4 linked regions of the Callithrix jacchus genome follow. The protein of the gene in region 1 interacts with the protein of each later gene in a pairwise test. Links are inferred from orthologs where the notes say so. Each region holds a gene or a part of one and is shown in the gene's direction. Other genes may lie near its edges.

Region 1 (4,184 bases):
ATAAGAAATGCAACTGTCCAAAAATAATTCTCTCACATTGGTCTGCTAATAAGACCTGAAATATCTGTCATTTTATTTATCTCTTTGACTTAAAGCACCAGGTCTCAAGGAGGTCACTGTTAAACTATAAATTTGTCATATGAAATAATATATTAAATAATTGTTGTAATAGTCTATTGACGTACTAGCTGTAAGGAGGCACAATGGAAAACATATACTATTAACAGTAATACAAAGAAACAATAAAAAGCAATAAAAAACAAACCACTGATTCATGCAACAACATGAATGAACCTCACAAATATTATGCTGAGTAAAAGAGGTCACACAGATATGAAACAAAGTTCGTACTATGTGATTAGATTTTTATGAAATTTGAGAACATGCACATGAAAGGTACAAGGTAACTGTCTGGAGTGATGAAAATGTCCTGAATCTTCAAAATGGTGTGGGTTACACTAAAGAATGGCTTTTTCAAAGTGACTTAAAGGGACACAACATCTGAGCATTTCACTAGGTGTAAATTATACTGCAATTTAAAATAATTATCTAATGATATTGTGGTTATTTTTAAACAGTTTCTAAATTTTGTGGATGCATACTGAATGTTTACAGCTGAAAAGATATATACAAAGCTTGAATTTGGTGACAAAAAACAGGGAGTATTTGTACTGATAAAGTTAGTGGACATATGGATGAGACATGATCAGCCATGCATTGAAAAACATGTAAAAGTTGGGTGATATTCACATGGGAGTCCTTCATTGTGTCTACTTTCGTGTGTTTGAATATTTCCCATAACAAGAAGTTGAGAATAGATCGGTCACCTGAGTTCACCCCTTCATTTACAAAAAAGAAAACTGGAAACAGAAGAACATAACTTGTTCACGGTCTCAAAGCCAGACAGCATACTAGCTCCCAAATCCAACCTTTTTGCTGTGGTGGTAGGCAAACACACAATATTAATGTGAGCTACTGCATTATGGAAAGTCTGCTTTTCCAAAGGGCAGACCAAGAGTTCAAGGAAGTGCTTAAGTAATAAATATCTATAATCTTGCTTTCATGCTCTGCTATTTTCCACTGAACACATATGCATTATCTTCTATATGTCTTTTATGTATAATCATTTGCTTCCTGTTCCTTGTGGTTTTAAAGTTGTTTTTTATGTTTAAATTTGATTTTACTCAAATTTCAGAACCAAAATGAGCGCAAGAATCAAACAAAACATTACTTTCTATAAATATAAAAACAATTTTTGCAAAACCATACAGCAAAAACGAGTTGTTTCCCCCCCCCCCCCCCACCTTTTCCAGGGCTTAACTAATCTTCCGAATCCAGGCACAGAAAGCAAAGGCTTTCTGCTAGTGGGAGGAGCTTGCTTCTCCATTCTGGTGTGATCTAGGAACAGCTGTCTTCCTTCCAGCTCTGAAAGAGGTGAAAATGTGTTAAGCGATGCAAAAATTGTCTTGAAGTTCGCGTTTGTATGTCTGTGTGTTTGAGCGTGTTGGGGGTGAGGGAGACAAAAGGGGGTGTCAGTTCTGAGGGCAACGAGAATCAGAAGTCAGAAAGGTGAGTGGTGTGTAGCATTCTCCTTTCAGAAGGGGCTGAAGAAGAAATTGTATATGATGGTCGGGTAGTGGAGATCACGCTGGATTTGCCTCCTAGATAGACCACGCGCTTGGGTCTGCAAAGTAAGTCCCATTTCTAGAGCGAAAAGCCTTAGGACTGCTTGTTTTAGACGGCTGGGGAATATTTATTCCTTGTTCCACTGATGGGAAAATCAGCGTCTGGCAGGCGCTGATTGGTGGAAAGGAAAATGGTGATAGTGGGGTGGGAAGAGGATTTGCTGAGCCTCCTCCTGCGTCCTTAACCTGTAACTCTTCCTTAGTAGTCTCCGCTTCACCTGCGGGACCCTTTCGGGCTCGTCCTAGATTAAGAGCAAACGGAAATCTTGGGGATATTTGAACTAAAGCGACCTTTAACGTTATAGCGGACGACGGCGAGTAAATTTCAGCGATACGAGGGCAAAGTGCTCTCGGCTGTGCCGTGTGAGCAGCCTCCTGCGCTGCTGTTTCCTCCAGCAGCCCCCCAAGAAATAGGCTCTGCTCTAGGTGGTCGACCCTCAGGGCCCCGACTCTCCCAGGTCGACTCTGACGCGGTGCAGGGGATGGTCCCCAGGAGGACCTGGGGGGAAAGGCGGGGACAGGAAGAGAGGGGAATGGGAAAGACGGAGAGGCGTCAGCCCAACCCCAACCCCTCGCGAGCGCCAAAAGAGTGCCCGTGACCCTGAACTTGAGGTAAGGCGCGAAGGCACCCCCACTTTCCCGATTTGCGCGGTCAGGCAGGCGGCTGGAGTTGATAGTTCACCCTCCGCCCCCTGCCCCATCCCCATCCGAGAAAGGGAACGGAGCAGCGCACGCGGCAGGGAAACCGCGAGCGCCGAGAGAGGGCGGGGAGAGGCGCTGACAAATCAGCGCTGGGGGCGGAGAGGCGAGGAGAAGCTGGAGGAGGACCAGGCGGAGGACGACGGCGACGACCAGAAGGGGCCCGAGAGAGGGGGCGAGCGACCGAGCGCCGCGACGCGGGAGTGAGGTGCGTGCGGGCTGCAGCGCAGACCCCAGCCCGGCCCCGCGGAGAGCGTCCTGGGCGCGCCCTCCCGCCTTCCCTTCAAGCCTCCCTTTCTCTTCATCCTCGTGAGCGAGGGACTGGGCGTGGCCATTCGACGACAGGTTAGCGGATTTGCCTCCCACGCCCCCAGCCTAGCGTCGCCGAGTTGTGCTGACGGCGGCCTCCTCTGGGGACCGTCCCCCTCCCGGTGCCGCCTCCGCCTTTCCTATGCGCTCCTTTCCCTCCCTCTTCCCTATTCAATATTATTTGGGAATTGTTTAAAAATTTTTTAAGGGAGGTGGGGAGGAATCGGAGTTGTGGAGAAGCAGAGGGACTCTGGTAAGTACCTGTAGATCTAAACGTATGTCTTTGGAAATCCCGGAGAACGCCAGGTGGGAGAGAAGTGGTCGTGGGCGCCGGGAGGGGGTGGTGCTGCAGTGAGGATCCGCTGTGCCAGGTCTCTGGGCGATGAGTACTTGCCCTTTCGGGAGCCTAAGGAAAGAGACTGGACCTGGCTTTCCTCCTGCTTCCGATATTTGCTTCTCCTCAAAGGCTGAGAGGTCAGGCATTCCCCAGGATCCGCTTTTCCCCGGGAAACCCGAGGATGCTCCATGGAGCCTGAGCATCCAACTTTTATTTCTCTCTTACCCGAAATTCCTCTGCCCGCTCTCTCGGTTTTTCTCTGTAAAGTAAGCAAGCTGCATTTGGCAAATAATGAAATGAAAGTGCAGGGAGGCCAAGTCAACAGGTGGTAAAGGGTTAACAAGTGCAGGCTCGCGGTCCGCTGGGTGGAGGCTAAGAACGCCTCCTCAGGTGGCTGGTGCGGGCCTCCAGACCGCCGACCGCCGGCGGGTGTGAGCGGCGCCTGCTCTGGATAGATAGCTGAGGGCGGGCAGGGGTTGGGGGGTGGCCAATGTTCTTGTGGATTAGAACCAGCGCCCCTGGGCTCGCTGTTTGCCTGAGATTCAACCACACCCAGAGTGAGTAGTTAGTTCTCTTCCCCATGCTTCTCCGTCATCAACCCGGTAGCCTTATTCTGGGATTCACGTTAAGGATGCCCCTGACCTTAAGCTCCAGCTTCCAGGCTTCTAACTCATACTGTTACCCTTTAGACCCTGGGAAGTTGAAAAAGGGTGAATCTTTTCTTGCAACTCCACTTCTGAAATGCAGTAATAACAACTCAGAGGATTCATCTTAATACATGGTTAGGTGGCTAGACTTTTACTAGCCAAGATGGATGGGAGATGCTAAATTTTTAATGCCAGAGCTAAAAATGTCTGCTTTGTCCAATGGTTAAATGAGTGTACACTTAAAAGAGTCTCACACTTTGGAGGGTTTCTAATAATTTTTCAGTGTTTTTTTTTTTTCCTCAAAAAGTTCTCATTCAAAGTGTATTTTATGTTCTCCAGTGTGGTGTAAAGGAATTCATTAGCCATGGATGTATTCATGAAAGGACTTTCAAAGGCCAAGGAGGGAGTTGTGGCTGCTGCTGAGAAAACCAAACAGGGTGTGGCAGAAGCAGCAGGAAAGACAAAAGAGGGTGTTCTCTATGTAGGTAGGTAAACCTCAGATGTCAC
Region 2 (4,058 bases), on another chromosome or scaffold:
TAGCTGGGCATGGTGGTGCGTACCTGTAATTAATCCCAGCTACTAAGGAGGGTGAGGCAGGAGAATTGCCTAAACCCACGAGGCGGAGGTTGTGGTGAGCCGAGATCGTGCCATTGCACTCCAGCCTGGGTAACGAGCAAAACTCTGTCTCAAAAAAAAAAAAAGAAAATTACCGTGTGTGTGTGTGTGTGTGTGTGTGTGTTTTGAGACAGGGCGATCATTGCTTATTGCAGCCTCTACTGCTCACTGTAGCCTTGACTTCTCAGGCTCTAGTGATCCTCCTACCTCAGCCACCCCAATAGTTGGGATAACCAGCACACACCACCGTGCCTGGCTAATTTTTTTTTTTTTTTTTTTTTTTGTAGAGATGGGGTCTAACTATGTTACCCAGGCTGGTATTTTCTTAGTTTACTATCTCTCTCCAACTCTAGGGCACAAATCTCCATGAAAACAGGGGCCATGTTGTTCCTCTTATCTTCAGCAACTTAAATATTTGTCGAATGAATTTATGCAGCCTATTCTATGGGCCATACACTGTCCTACGGACTTTTTTATTTCAGACGGAGTCTCGCTCTGTCACCCAGGCTGGAGTGCAGTAGCACGATCTCGGCTCTGCAACCTCTGCCTCCCGTGTTCAAGCGATTCTCCTGCCTCACCCTCCCGAGTAGCTGGGATTACAAGCATTCACCATCATACCAGGCTAATTTTTTGTATTTTTAGTAGAGATGGAATTTAGTAGAGTTGGGGTTTCACCACGTTGGCTAGGCAGGTCTGAACTCCTGACCTCAGGTGATTCGCCTGCCTTGGCTTCCCAAAGTGCTGGGATTACAGGCATGAGCCACCGCGCCCGGCCTGCCCTATAGACTTTGCAATTAATAACTATTTTAATCATAATAGCTCAACGAGAGAGGTTGGTACCATTGCCCATTTTACAGTTGAGGACATTAAAGCACAGAGCAATTGAGAAACTTGCCTAACTAGCAGAGTTAGAACCCAGACAAAGTGCTTAACCACAAAGCGATGCTTTTTCTATATATAAACCGACGGACAGATGAAATAGCCTGATTGTCTGATGACTGACTGAATGAATGAATAAATGAAAATCTGGTTATAAATGATTCTTTGCGTCTCTCGATTCCCTGGATCTACCGCAAGGAGGCGATCTCCCCCCGGTCCTGATGCCAGTCACTTTAGGCGCGCACTCCCTTTGCGTCTCGGGCTCGCGCGCGTTGCCGCGGCACCGGAAGTGACTGAGCTTGCAAGTTCCCCTGTCTCTTCAGGGGAAACTGAGGCCGGCTTGTTCGGGAGAGACGGCGCGAGCAGTCAGCCAGGTAGGCCGGCAGCTAGGTAGGCCGGCCCGGGTCCGCGGCGCGGAACTCGGCCGCGAAGAGCTCTAGCGTCTAAAAGTTACCAGGCCGACCAAGGGGGATGTGGTCCCCCACGGCTCGCGGGGCTCGCAGGTGAGAGCGCCGCCTCCCCTGTGCGTGACAGCCGCTACGCCCAATGGGAGCCTTCGCCGTTTCGCTTCCTTGCCGGCTGGGTTCGCTGATTGGCTGCACTGGGGCGGGCCGCCGGGGGTGAGACCCCTCCTCCCAGGAAGGTCTAGGGGGCGCCCCTGGGGGAGGGCGGTTGCCTAGCAACGGGGCGGTGGCTCCGCGGGTACCAGGCCTAGAGAGCGCGAGAAGCCGCGAGGCCGGAGCCCGCCCACCCTGGGCTCCGGAAAGGTGCAGCCCCCGGCCCCAGAGCCCTCCTGGGGGCGCTAGGAAGCCGCTTTGGGCCTGTCCCCAGGAAAACGTGGTCTCAGCTGTGGGGGCCGTCGAGCAGGCCTCGACCCCTCTTTCTGACCCGAGGAGAGGCCCAGCGCCTCATCCTCACCCCGTCTTTGTGCAGGGCGCCGGCAGCCATTGTGTCCGGGCGGGGAATGGAGGACCCGGCAATCCCCCACCGCCACGTTCAGGGCCTTTGGGGAATTCAAAGAAAACCAGCGGCATTTGTGGGGGGTCTCCGGCCTTCAGCCTCCCGGACACGCCTGGCGGTGGCCTTCCCGAAGTCAGATCGCAGATCCGAGGCAGTTTCCCCGTCCCTGCGTCCCTCATCGAAACCTTGAACCCCATTGAGAAGTCCCTTCAGGGTTTCGGACGTCTCCACCTCACCCTGGACTGGTGCTTAAATAGAAAAAGGAAAGAAAAAAAAGAAAGAAAGAAAACCTAGCTAAATTCTACCAGCCACCTCCAGGAGAGTTCTCCTGGCTCCCAGTAGGAGGCGGAGAGCCAAGGGGCGTGCAAGAGCGAGGGGGCTGGGCTCCCGGGTGGCAGGAGGCCGCGGCTGCAGAGCGGCCGCCCTCGATCCCGGCGATGGAGGAGGAAGCAAGCGAGGGGGCTGGTTCCTGAGCTTCGCAATTCCTGTGTCGCCTTCTGGGCTCCCAGCCTGCGGGTCGCATGATCCCTGTAGCCGGAGCTGGGTTTTTTGCCAGCCGCCGCGAGGCCGGCTGAGTTACCGGCATCCCGGCCGCCACCTCCTCTCCCGACCTGTGATACAAAAGATCTTCCGGGGGCTGCACCTGCCTGCCTTTGCTTAAGGCAGATTTGAATGTAGGTGGTGCGGGGGAGGGGGAGTCGCGGGGGACTGCCCAGGGGGTGACTTTCCGAGGAAGACATTTCGGAGAAGAGGGGGTGGCTGGGGTAGAAAAGGCTGGTGAGAGATTCAGAGCCCACTCTTGGTGTTTTCGATTTGACTTAATTGAAGTATCTTGGAACCTAGACTTCCTAAGAGCCACAAAGAAACCAGTTTTGGTACCTGGAGGGAGAATGGGATGTTTAGGGTAAATGGCATGCATATTAATTTTTTTTTTTTTTCCTGAAGCTCTTTCTCTCTCTTCAGAATCTTATCTTGGCTTTGGATCTTAGAAGAGAATCACTAACCAGAGACCAGACTCAGTGAGCAGGTGTTTTGGACAATGGACTGGTTGAGCCCATCCCTATTATAAAAATGTCTCAGAGCAACCGGGAGCTGGTGGTTGACTTTCTCTCCTACAAGCTTTCCCAGAAAGGATACAGCTGGAGTCAGTTTAGTGATGTGGAAGAGAACAGGACTGAGGCCCCAGAAGGGACTGATTCGGAGATGGAGACCCCCAGTGCCATCAATGGCAACCCATCCTGGCACCTGGCGGACAGCCCAGTGGTGAATGGAGCCACGGGCCACAGCAGCAGTTTGGATGCCCGGGAGGTGATCCCCATGGCAGCAGTAAAGCAAGCACTGAGGGAGGCAGGCGACGAGTTTGAACTGCGGTACCGGCGGGCATTTAGTGACCTGACATCCCAGCTCCACATCACCCCCGGGACAGCGTATCAGAGCTTTGAACAGGTAGTGAACGAACTCTTCCGGGATGGGGTAAACTGGGGTCGCATTGTGGCCTTTTTCTCCTTCGGCGGGGCACTGTGCGTGGAAAGCGTAGACAAGGAGATGCAGGTATTGGTGAGTCGGATCGCAGCTTGGATGGCCACTTACCTGAATGACCACCTAGAGCCTTGGATCCAGGAGAACGGCGGCTGGGTAAGAACCAAGCCCCTTGTGTGTCCTTTTTCTTTGGCCTCTGGTCAGAGATCCCCAACAGCCCTTCTTCTGTATCTCTTTCTGTTGTGTTGGGTGATTGTTGGAGATGTTGATAGTTGAGGAGACCTGACTGGTCTCATTTCACAAAATAATCCTGTGCTTCAAAGATCAGGCAGCTTTCACTCTGGTCACCCCCAGGACTCCACTCTTCCATACTTGTGTTCCAGTTTCTCAGCAAAGAAAACTATAGCCTATGTGTTCATTAAGTCCCTAACCTGTGAGACTAGGAAGTTAGGTCAGTGTTTCCCTTAACTTATACAATAGTTCACATGCAAAGGGGTGATGAGTATAATGCCTAGAGATGATGGGCATCAGTGACCCATAGACCTCTCCATCTGTTCCCCGCAGGGCATCTCAGTCCTATCCTGGGCTTCTCTCCCCCAAATCATGTTCCCTTTATTTCAAAGTTTGCATGTGTGGCACTCTCCCCGCAGACTAGGGCATGG
Region 3 (3,562 bases), on another chromosome or scaffold:
GGCCCCACTGCAGCTCTCCTGGGCATCTCAGAGCTAAGGGTCGCTTCAGAGCTGCTGGCAGCCTGGGGGCCACTGGGAGACAGTCCTGGAACTGAGAGTCCGTGGGCCCTGAGGAAGGAAGCTTGGCAGGTGGTGTTAAGCTGTTGGCTCCGTCCGTGTGTTTCATTTTAGGCTACAGTGTTAACACTGTCAAGCCCTGTCTGTGTTTTCTGTTTTAGGCTACAAAATTTGGATCCCAAGCAAGTCAGAAGGTAACAGAGGAGAAGCTTCTGCACCCTATCCTGAGCCTCTGACATCATGTGCAGCGCCCAGAGCTGCCTGGTTCCCTCTTCCCAGGCCGCGTGCTCAGGGCTGAGGGCCCAGCATAGCAGGGGTGTTTCCAGCATGTTGCTCCCTGACTCGGCCCCTCTTCATGCCAGAGTGGCTGCCTCATGGGCCTGTTGAGGGCCTTGGGGCCAAACTCTCCACTGTTACTGGCACCTGGTGCTGGTGTGTGGCCACTTTGCGGCCGAGCACCTTGTTGGGAGCAGGACTGCCCAGCTTGGCAGATGGCCTACACTGGCGGTGGCTGCTCAGCCGGCAGGGGCGTTGCGGGTGGTGCTGTGCCGGCAGCACCCAGGATGCGTCTGTACTCGGGGGCCATGGAGCGTCCCTTTGCCCTGGCCAGGACATGCCCTGGTTGTAGGTGGTGTGGTCTTGGGCCTTTGTATATCCGTATTCTTTAGGATGTGAGTGGCGGCCCCACAGTCCCCACTTGGTGGTCAGGGCTGCGGTCTGGCTGTCCTGAGGGTCAGAGTCACCCAGGAGGCAGTGGCCACGTGAGGCCCACCACGAAAGCCAAAACTGCTGTATGTGTTTTTTTAGGACACACTCTTGCTCCCAGGGGGAGGAGTCTATTCTCACGAGGTGCCCGTCTGTCCCCCCATGGCCTGTAGCACTCCTTTCTCTCTGAGGGAGTCTTCTGTGTGGCCACCCCCGGCTGTAGGGGCTTTGCCACGGCCCCCAGGCTCCTGAGCCGCAATCAGTCACGCAGTTTCTGAGCGTGGTGGTCAGGTCCAGGGCAGGGAGTGGTGGCTCCCCGTCATGTTGCTGAGACACCCCCCCGCCCCCTGTGCTGCCTTATCGATGCAGCACCACGTGGCGGGTTCGCAGGTGCTCTGAGTTACTAATGCCACCCTCACCTTGCTCTCTCCTCACCTGTTGCCTTGCTGCCTGGTAAAGTTTTGGGGTCACAAGCAGCAGCCGGAGCCGGTAAAGCCCGCATCTGCTTATGCATGGCGTCTATGTCTCCGCCGAGAATGCGCTTGGCTCCCGCCGCCCCTCCTGCGTGCTGCCCCTGTCTCGTGTTGCCTCACATGTGCGCACGCGCAGACCCTCTCCCGGCCTTGGGCCGTGGCTCTCCAGGATCTGCGTCAGGCTTGCTGGTGTGTGCCTGTCACCCCAGTACCACTGCACTCCAGCCTGGGCAAAATAATGAGACCTCGTCTCCAAAAAACACGGACCCTGACCCAGGCTTGCCGCCAGGAGGCGCTGAACGCGGGGGGGAGGGTGTGGGCAGCTGGCACTGGGCATGAAGCTGCTGCTGAGCAGGGTTTCCAGGCCGTGCTGCCCTCCCTGGAACTTATTGCAGAGGAGGATCTTTGCTCCGTGACGAGTCCTTCCCCTATGGTCTTTGATCTGCGCTTCTCCCTGCGCAGAGGTCTTGGGGAGAGGAGGCCTCACCCCACATCCACAGGTGGCCCTGTGGCCATCATCCCCAAGTGACTCGGGATCAGGAGGGGCTGAGCTTTCTCAGCAGCTTCTTTCCATGGCCCCAGCCTCCCTGCCTTCTTTCCTGTGGGGGAAGGAAGACGAGGCATCCCAGGTCAGCCTGGGGTGGCCACAGCTGCTGTTGCTTCTGCTTGAGGTGCATGGGGCATGTCCTCCCCGGCCCAGCCCCGCTGGCTGCATGGCGGCGCATGAGGGAGACCCCCAGAGGGAGCTCCCTGTGTCCTTGAGGGCCCTTCTGCGAGAATTGGGGGCACGGTCTTCGCTGACTATATGTTGGAGGCTGACTATATGTTGGGGGTTGTGTGCAAAGCCCTGTTTCCTGCCTCCTGGGCTTGTGCCCTGCTGCCTTCCCCTGCTGGCGAAGCTCCCGCTGCCCTTTGCTGGCCTGGGCTGCCGCTGTCAACCCGTCTCCCCCGCGGAGTTGCCATCAGGGTCACATGACTTCCCTTCCTACAGGCGTCCGAGCTGGGCCATAGCCTGAACGAGAACGTCCTCAAACCTGCTCAGGAGAAGGTAATGGGGCAGCTCCGAGGGGTTGATGTGCTGCTTGTACCCAGCGCCCTTCACTTGGGGGTGTGGGTGTGTTGGGGGCATCAGGGTTGGTTTGTCCAGCAGCTGGCACTCAGGCCCAACCTCACACCCCACGTCTCTAGCACAGGTGTCCTCCTCAGGCTGGGTGCCTCTCGGAACCTCCAGCTGATCTCTTCCCCTGGCCTAGGGCCTCCCTCACAGGCCCCCAGCTCCTTCCTTTCCTCCGCCTCACCCCCTAGAGCTGGCCCCAGTGCTGTGCACAGAGGAGGCTCTGTTGTGGGAGTGACACGCGCCGTCCTCGGGTCTGACTGGGATACGTGGGGGACCCACCTGGGGAAGCATGGACCATCCTCGGGTCTGACTGGGACACGCAGGGGACACACCTGGGGCAGCATGGACAGTCCTCAGGTCACTTTGTCAGCAGTGCCTGGCGGGGGCCACTTCTGCAGGTGCCAGGCCTGGCAGTGATGTGGTCTCTTGATGCTGGAATCACTTTGGGGCCAGTGTAGAACTTTCTGGGCTCAGCCCAACAGCTGTCCACGCCCTTGTTTCGGGTGCCCTCACCCTGGGGACTCCCTGCATTTCAGAAGCTTTAGGCTTTAGTCTCTTCCGCCCCCACTAATGCCGCTATCTTAACCCATGCAGGTGAAGGAGGGAAAGATTTTTGATGATGTGTCCAGTGGGGTCTCTCAGTTGGCATCCAAGGTAGGGAGCCTGCCAGAGGTGCAGGCACGGCTGAAGCCAGTTTCCATATCCATGGCCCTGGGCACGAGAGCAGGGGCTCTCTGAGCAGGCCCCAGCCTGACCCAGCCCACCTCAGCAGTGGCCCCATCCTCTGAGATGGAAGGAGGGCTGCCCGGCCTGACAGCCAGAGGGATATGGAAACAGCTTGGCCCGCTGCCACCCAGCCAGCCACTAACTGTCCCTTCCACTCTTCCCTTGCTGCTGCTGGCCTTTTCCTCGGTAAGTGCCGGCGCCGTCCTCGCCGTCTTCCGTCTGCTGCTCTGCGGGCCGGTCGGGGTCTGCGTTTTGTCCTGTTTACTGGCGTGAGGTACTCTGCAGATGGGGAGGGAAGAGCAGGCTCTACCCCCTCCGCTGTGTGTGTGTAGGTGCTCCTGAGGTCTGTGCACGCGGCTGTCCTTGCTGCCGCATCCCACATGCACCCCGCGCTACTATGGAGTGTCCGTATGCGTCTCTGTCTGTATGAGTGCACCAGGCACCCCTTGCTTCTGGATTTTACCTGGGCCTTCTCAGCCAGTCG
Region 4 (3,562 bases), on another chromosome or scaffold:
ATGCATATTTTCTAACTGCCTTTATTTATGCTGTTACTCTCTTGAATATCCCTTTTCCTACATTTTTCCTAAGAGAATCCTGCCGAGTTCAAAATGCCTCTTCCGTAAGCTGGCATTACTTTTTCTCCTCCCTTAGTTGGAAGTGATTTCTCTCCTATTTTTATGATTTTTCACTTTCTCTTTTGTAATATGGTTATTTATATGTTTATCTCAGCTTCTCTGGCAGATTGCAAACAGGGTAAAGGCAGGATTGAAGTGTGGTTCATTTTGGTAGCTCCTGGAGTATTCACACTCTGAAATGATAAGAATGACTGGCTGATCGGATGAGTACTTCAGAAAGGTAATAGCAGTGAAAAGGGAGGATTAGGCTGGAGGAGCCCCCTTAAGAGGTTATTGTGATCCAGGCTAGAGGTGGTGAGGGCTCAGCAAGTGACAGGAGGATAAGGGATAAACCTTCAAGTGTCCAAGATCCCCATGACTATACTTTTGCTCCAAAAGTTGGAACAAAATACAGAGGAAAGGGGTTTCTGTTAGATTTTGAGTTCTCTTTTACTTGGTTGCAGTTTATTCTAATGCATGGTTTCTTCTTCTGTGTAATAGTGTTAGATTGATTTTCTTCTGTAGATATTAACTGTATCTGTTATCTGTAGACAGTTGTCGTATGTTGATTAACTGGAAGCTCTTTTTCAAACAGAAAAATGAAAACCGATTCTATCTGAAGGAAGTGAATGTCAGCATGAATTTGGTTAATGGCTCTGGTAAGCAAAGCATTGGCCTGGGGGGAAAAAAAAGTGTGGGTTACCCCAAAGGATTAGAAATCATAATGTTCTTATTACCAAATAGTGCCTTATTTAATGAGACAGAAGATGCTATGTAAAAAGTATACCTTGGTCACACCTTAAAATTAGTAACTTAGAACTATGATGTTCTGTCTTTTCCTGTATCTCATCTTTTCAAAGTATGGTAGATAATAATTAAGGATAGGACTGATTTTTAGACTATAGAAACATCTATAGAAAGATAAGGGAACCTACTGATGGTAAAAATTGCTTTTTGTGGGTTGATCTTGTCCCCCAGGCTCTCATACTTCCCTGAAAAACCCTGAGGACTGTCACTTTTTGTTTGTTTGTTTGAGACAGGGTCTTGCTCTGTGCTCAAGCTAGAGGGCAATGGCGCGACCACAGATTAATCCCAGATTCAAGCCAACCACCCACCTCAGCCTTCCAAGTAGCTGGGACTACAGGTGCACACTATCATGCCCAGCTAATTTTTTTTCTTTGTATGTTTTATAGTGACAGGATTTTGCCATGTTGCCCAGGCTGGTCACGAACTCCTGGGCTCACACTATCTGCCAACCATGGCTTTCCCAAAGTGCTGGAATTACAGGTGTGAGCCAGTGTACCTGGCCCTTTCCCATTTTTGATGTTGATAGGATAAGAAGTCACTAACCTGTTTCTTTTCTTTGAAGTTTTCAGCATTGCAAATAACAATCTCAGCTACTGGGATGCCCCCCTGGGAAGTTCTTATATGTGCAACAAAGAGCAGACTGTTTCAGTGTCTGGAGCATTTCAGATAAATACCTTTGATCTAAGGGTTCAGCCTTTCAATGTGATAGAAGGAAAGTATTCTACAGGTAAGAATCAAGCAAACTTCATTAATAATTTATGTTATTCTGTTGACTGATAGGTAGCTTTTCCTTTGAATCATAGACATTTAAACGTTGAAATAGAGGAACATGAATTCACCAGACGTCTCATAGCCTTGAGCACATTGTGCGACTCTGTATTTAGCTCATCATTTTGCTCAACTGAGATGATTTTTTTTTATCTTAAAATCATTTGCAACGAAGTTCTTAAAGCTAAAAACGGATAGAAGCTTTATTTGAGGTACGGGTTTTAGTTTGTAGGGAAGATGGTACTTGGGAGTAGCAATTTTGAGCATCTTGCCTCTGCTTCTTGGGGCCATCTTCTCACTGGAGAAACATTTTCATACCTGAACGAAAGCAGTTGGGTCTGATTTTGTTAAGACAAAAGATAAAGAGCAGTAGCAAAGCCTCAAATATCATGAACTATGTTTTTGCCAGCCAATATGATCTGAAGAGTTTTCAAAGCATATGCCAGTGTGAATGAGGCTTTTTGAAGATCACTCAGGGCTAATGGTGGTATTTATTAGATTTTTAATGAAACCTTTGTGAAGGGCTCATTATAATGTGTTCATATGAATATGAAAGACATATTTGGCATTACAAGATTAAAATCTGCATGAAGAAGAAAAGTACATAAAGTTCCTTAATTGACTTATCCTTTTAAGCCCATTACCTAAAATTGGGGGTTTGTGGATCACAACTCCATTGAGCAGAGCTATTCAAATCATCCACATCCTTTTTAACCATTAATTCTGTGGTTTGGAAGGAAATGTGGAAGCTGTGTTTAAAAGCAGATATACTGTGAGCCATTCGACCGCTTTTGCAGTGGTGTTGACTACTTAGTCTGACTTGGTTAGATCACAATAAATTGAGGTCTCCACCCTACCATTCTTGTGACTGAAGATGTTAGTTACACTTTTAAAATATTTTCAATAATTAATTTTACCTTTTGCCTGTTTTGCTTATGTACTTCAATTATTTTGATCCTTTACTAGCTTTATTTTTGGACTTTTTATCTGGCTCCCCTTCATTATTCCCCTAATTTTAAGTCCAGATTTGTGTTTACAGTTTAAAATTATTTGCAGTATTAGTATCATCAGTTCAAGCCTTTTATCTAGTCAGCTGTAATAGAGATGAGCTGTGCTCTTTCTCTTAATTTGAAACTTTGGTTTTTATGTACATAGAATTAAAAATATCACACAAAGAGATATGCAGCATTTAATACTGATATTGAATGCATAATCCATTTGTGGAACTAGATTCTTGGCTGTATATAAATACAACGCATAGGTAATACTTGACTGTATGGGGAAAGAAATAGAATTGCAGTAAGGTAGAAGAGTGTTGATTGGATTTTACTGGATCAGACCACTCTCTAGAAATAGAAGAAAATAGCCCCCTTAGGCTGCCCACCCCTGACCAGATAACAAATGTAGTAAGCACACTCAAATTAGTAAGAGGTCCCAGTTTCTTGACTTTGCAGCCACTAAAATCGTATGTTCTAAGTCACGATCTGCAAACTTTTCTGTAAAGTTCCAAACAGTAAGTGTTTTAGGCTTTGGGGCCATATGGTCTCTGTCGCAACTACTCAAATCTGCTATTGTAGCACAAAAACAGCAACACATAAACAGATGACTATGGCTGTGATCCAATAAAACTTTATTTATGGACACTGAAATTTGAATTTTATGTGCTCTCATGTGTCACAAAATATTTTTTGCAACCATTTAAAAATGTAAAAGCCATTTTTAGATCTTGGACCAGATTTGGCCCATGGGCTACAGCTTGCTGACCCCCTACTCTAAAGGGACTCCAGAGCCAGCCTGGCTATTCTCATCATATGATACCTTCCTGATACTGTTTCCACTTTCCCAAAAGACAATTCACTGTACCACTGAGAGCTAATCTGCCTATGTG

Evidence for each region.
Region 2: the proteins of SNCA (region 1) and BCL2L1 interact in binary tests that used the Homo sapiens proteins (3 or more experiments, as listed by UniProt). The link is inferred for Callithrix jacchus from reciprocal best matches to the Homo sapiens genes SNCA and BCL2L1.
Region 3: the proteins of SNCA (region 1) and ARFGAP1 interact in binary tests that used the Homo sapiens proteins (3 or more experiments, as listed by UniProt). The link is inferred for Callithrix jacchus from reciprocal best matches to the Homo sapiens genes SNCA and ARFGAP1.
Region 4: the proteins of SNCA (region 1) and LAMP2 interact in binary tests that used the Homo sapiens proteins (3 or more experiments, as listed by UniProt). The link is inferred for Callithrix jacchus from reciprocal best matches to the Homo sapiens genes SNCA and LAMP2.

The regions. Positions count from the first base shown.
Region 1 is NC_133504.1:107,737,723-107,741,906, forward strand, and holds the start of SNCA (alpha-synuclein), read left to right. Parts: upstream 1-1,377; 5' UTR 1,378-1,569; exon of another isoform or gene 1,570-1,691; intron 1,692-1,862; exon of another isoform or gene 1,863-2,297; intron 2,298-2,528; exon of another isoform or gene 2,529-2,946; intron 2,947-3,439; exon of another isoform or gene 3,440-3,587; intron 3,588-4,016; 5' UTR 4,017-4,041; coding exon 4,042-4,162; intron 4,163-4,184. UniProt on the Homo sapiens protein: Neuronal protein that plays several roles in synaptic activity such as regulation of synaptic vesicle trafficking and subsequent neurotransmitter release.
Region 2 is NC_133506.1:7,474,932-7,478,989, forward strand, and holds the start of BCL2L1 (bcl-2-like protein 1), read left to right. Parts: upstream 1-1,231; 5' UTR 1,232-1,460; intron 1,461-1,631; exon of another isoform or gene 1,632-1,724; intron 1,725-2,338; exon of another isoform or gene 2,339-2,591; intron 2,592-2,862; exon of another isoform or gene 2,863-2,880; 5' UTR 2,881-2,988; coding exon 2,989-3,552; intron 3,553-4,058. UniProt on the Homo sapiens protein: Potent inhibitor of cell death. Inhibits activation of caspases. Appears to regulate cell death by blocking the voltage-dependent anion channel (VDAC) by binding to it and preventing the release of the caspase activator, CYC1, from the mitochondrial membrane.
Region 3 is NC_133506.1:58,772,411-58,775,972, forward strand, and holds part of ARFGAP1 (ADP-ribosylation factor GTPase-activating protein 1), read left to right. Parts: intron 1-218; coding exon 219-251; intron 252-1,221; coding exon 1,222-1,251; intron 1,252-2,226; coding exon 2,227-2,283; intron 2,284-2,946; coding exon 2,947-3,006; intron 3,007-3,269; coding exon of another isoform or gene 3,270-3,352; intron 3,353-3,562. UniProt on the Homo sapiens protein: GTPase-activating protein (GAP) for the ADP ribosylation factor 1 (ARF1). Involved in membrane trafficking and /or vesicle transport.
Region 4 is NC_133524.1:116,320,238-116,323,799, reverse strand, and holds part of LAMP2 (lysosome-associated membrane glycoprotein 2), read left to right. Parts: intron 1-694; coding exon 695-758; intron 759-1,468; coding exon 1,469-1,633; intron 1,634-3,562. UniProt on the Homo sapiens protein: Lysosomal membrane glycoprotein which plays an important role in lysosome biogenesis, lysosomal pH regulation and autophagy.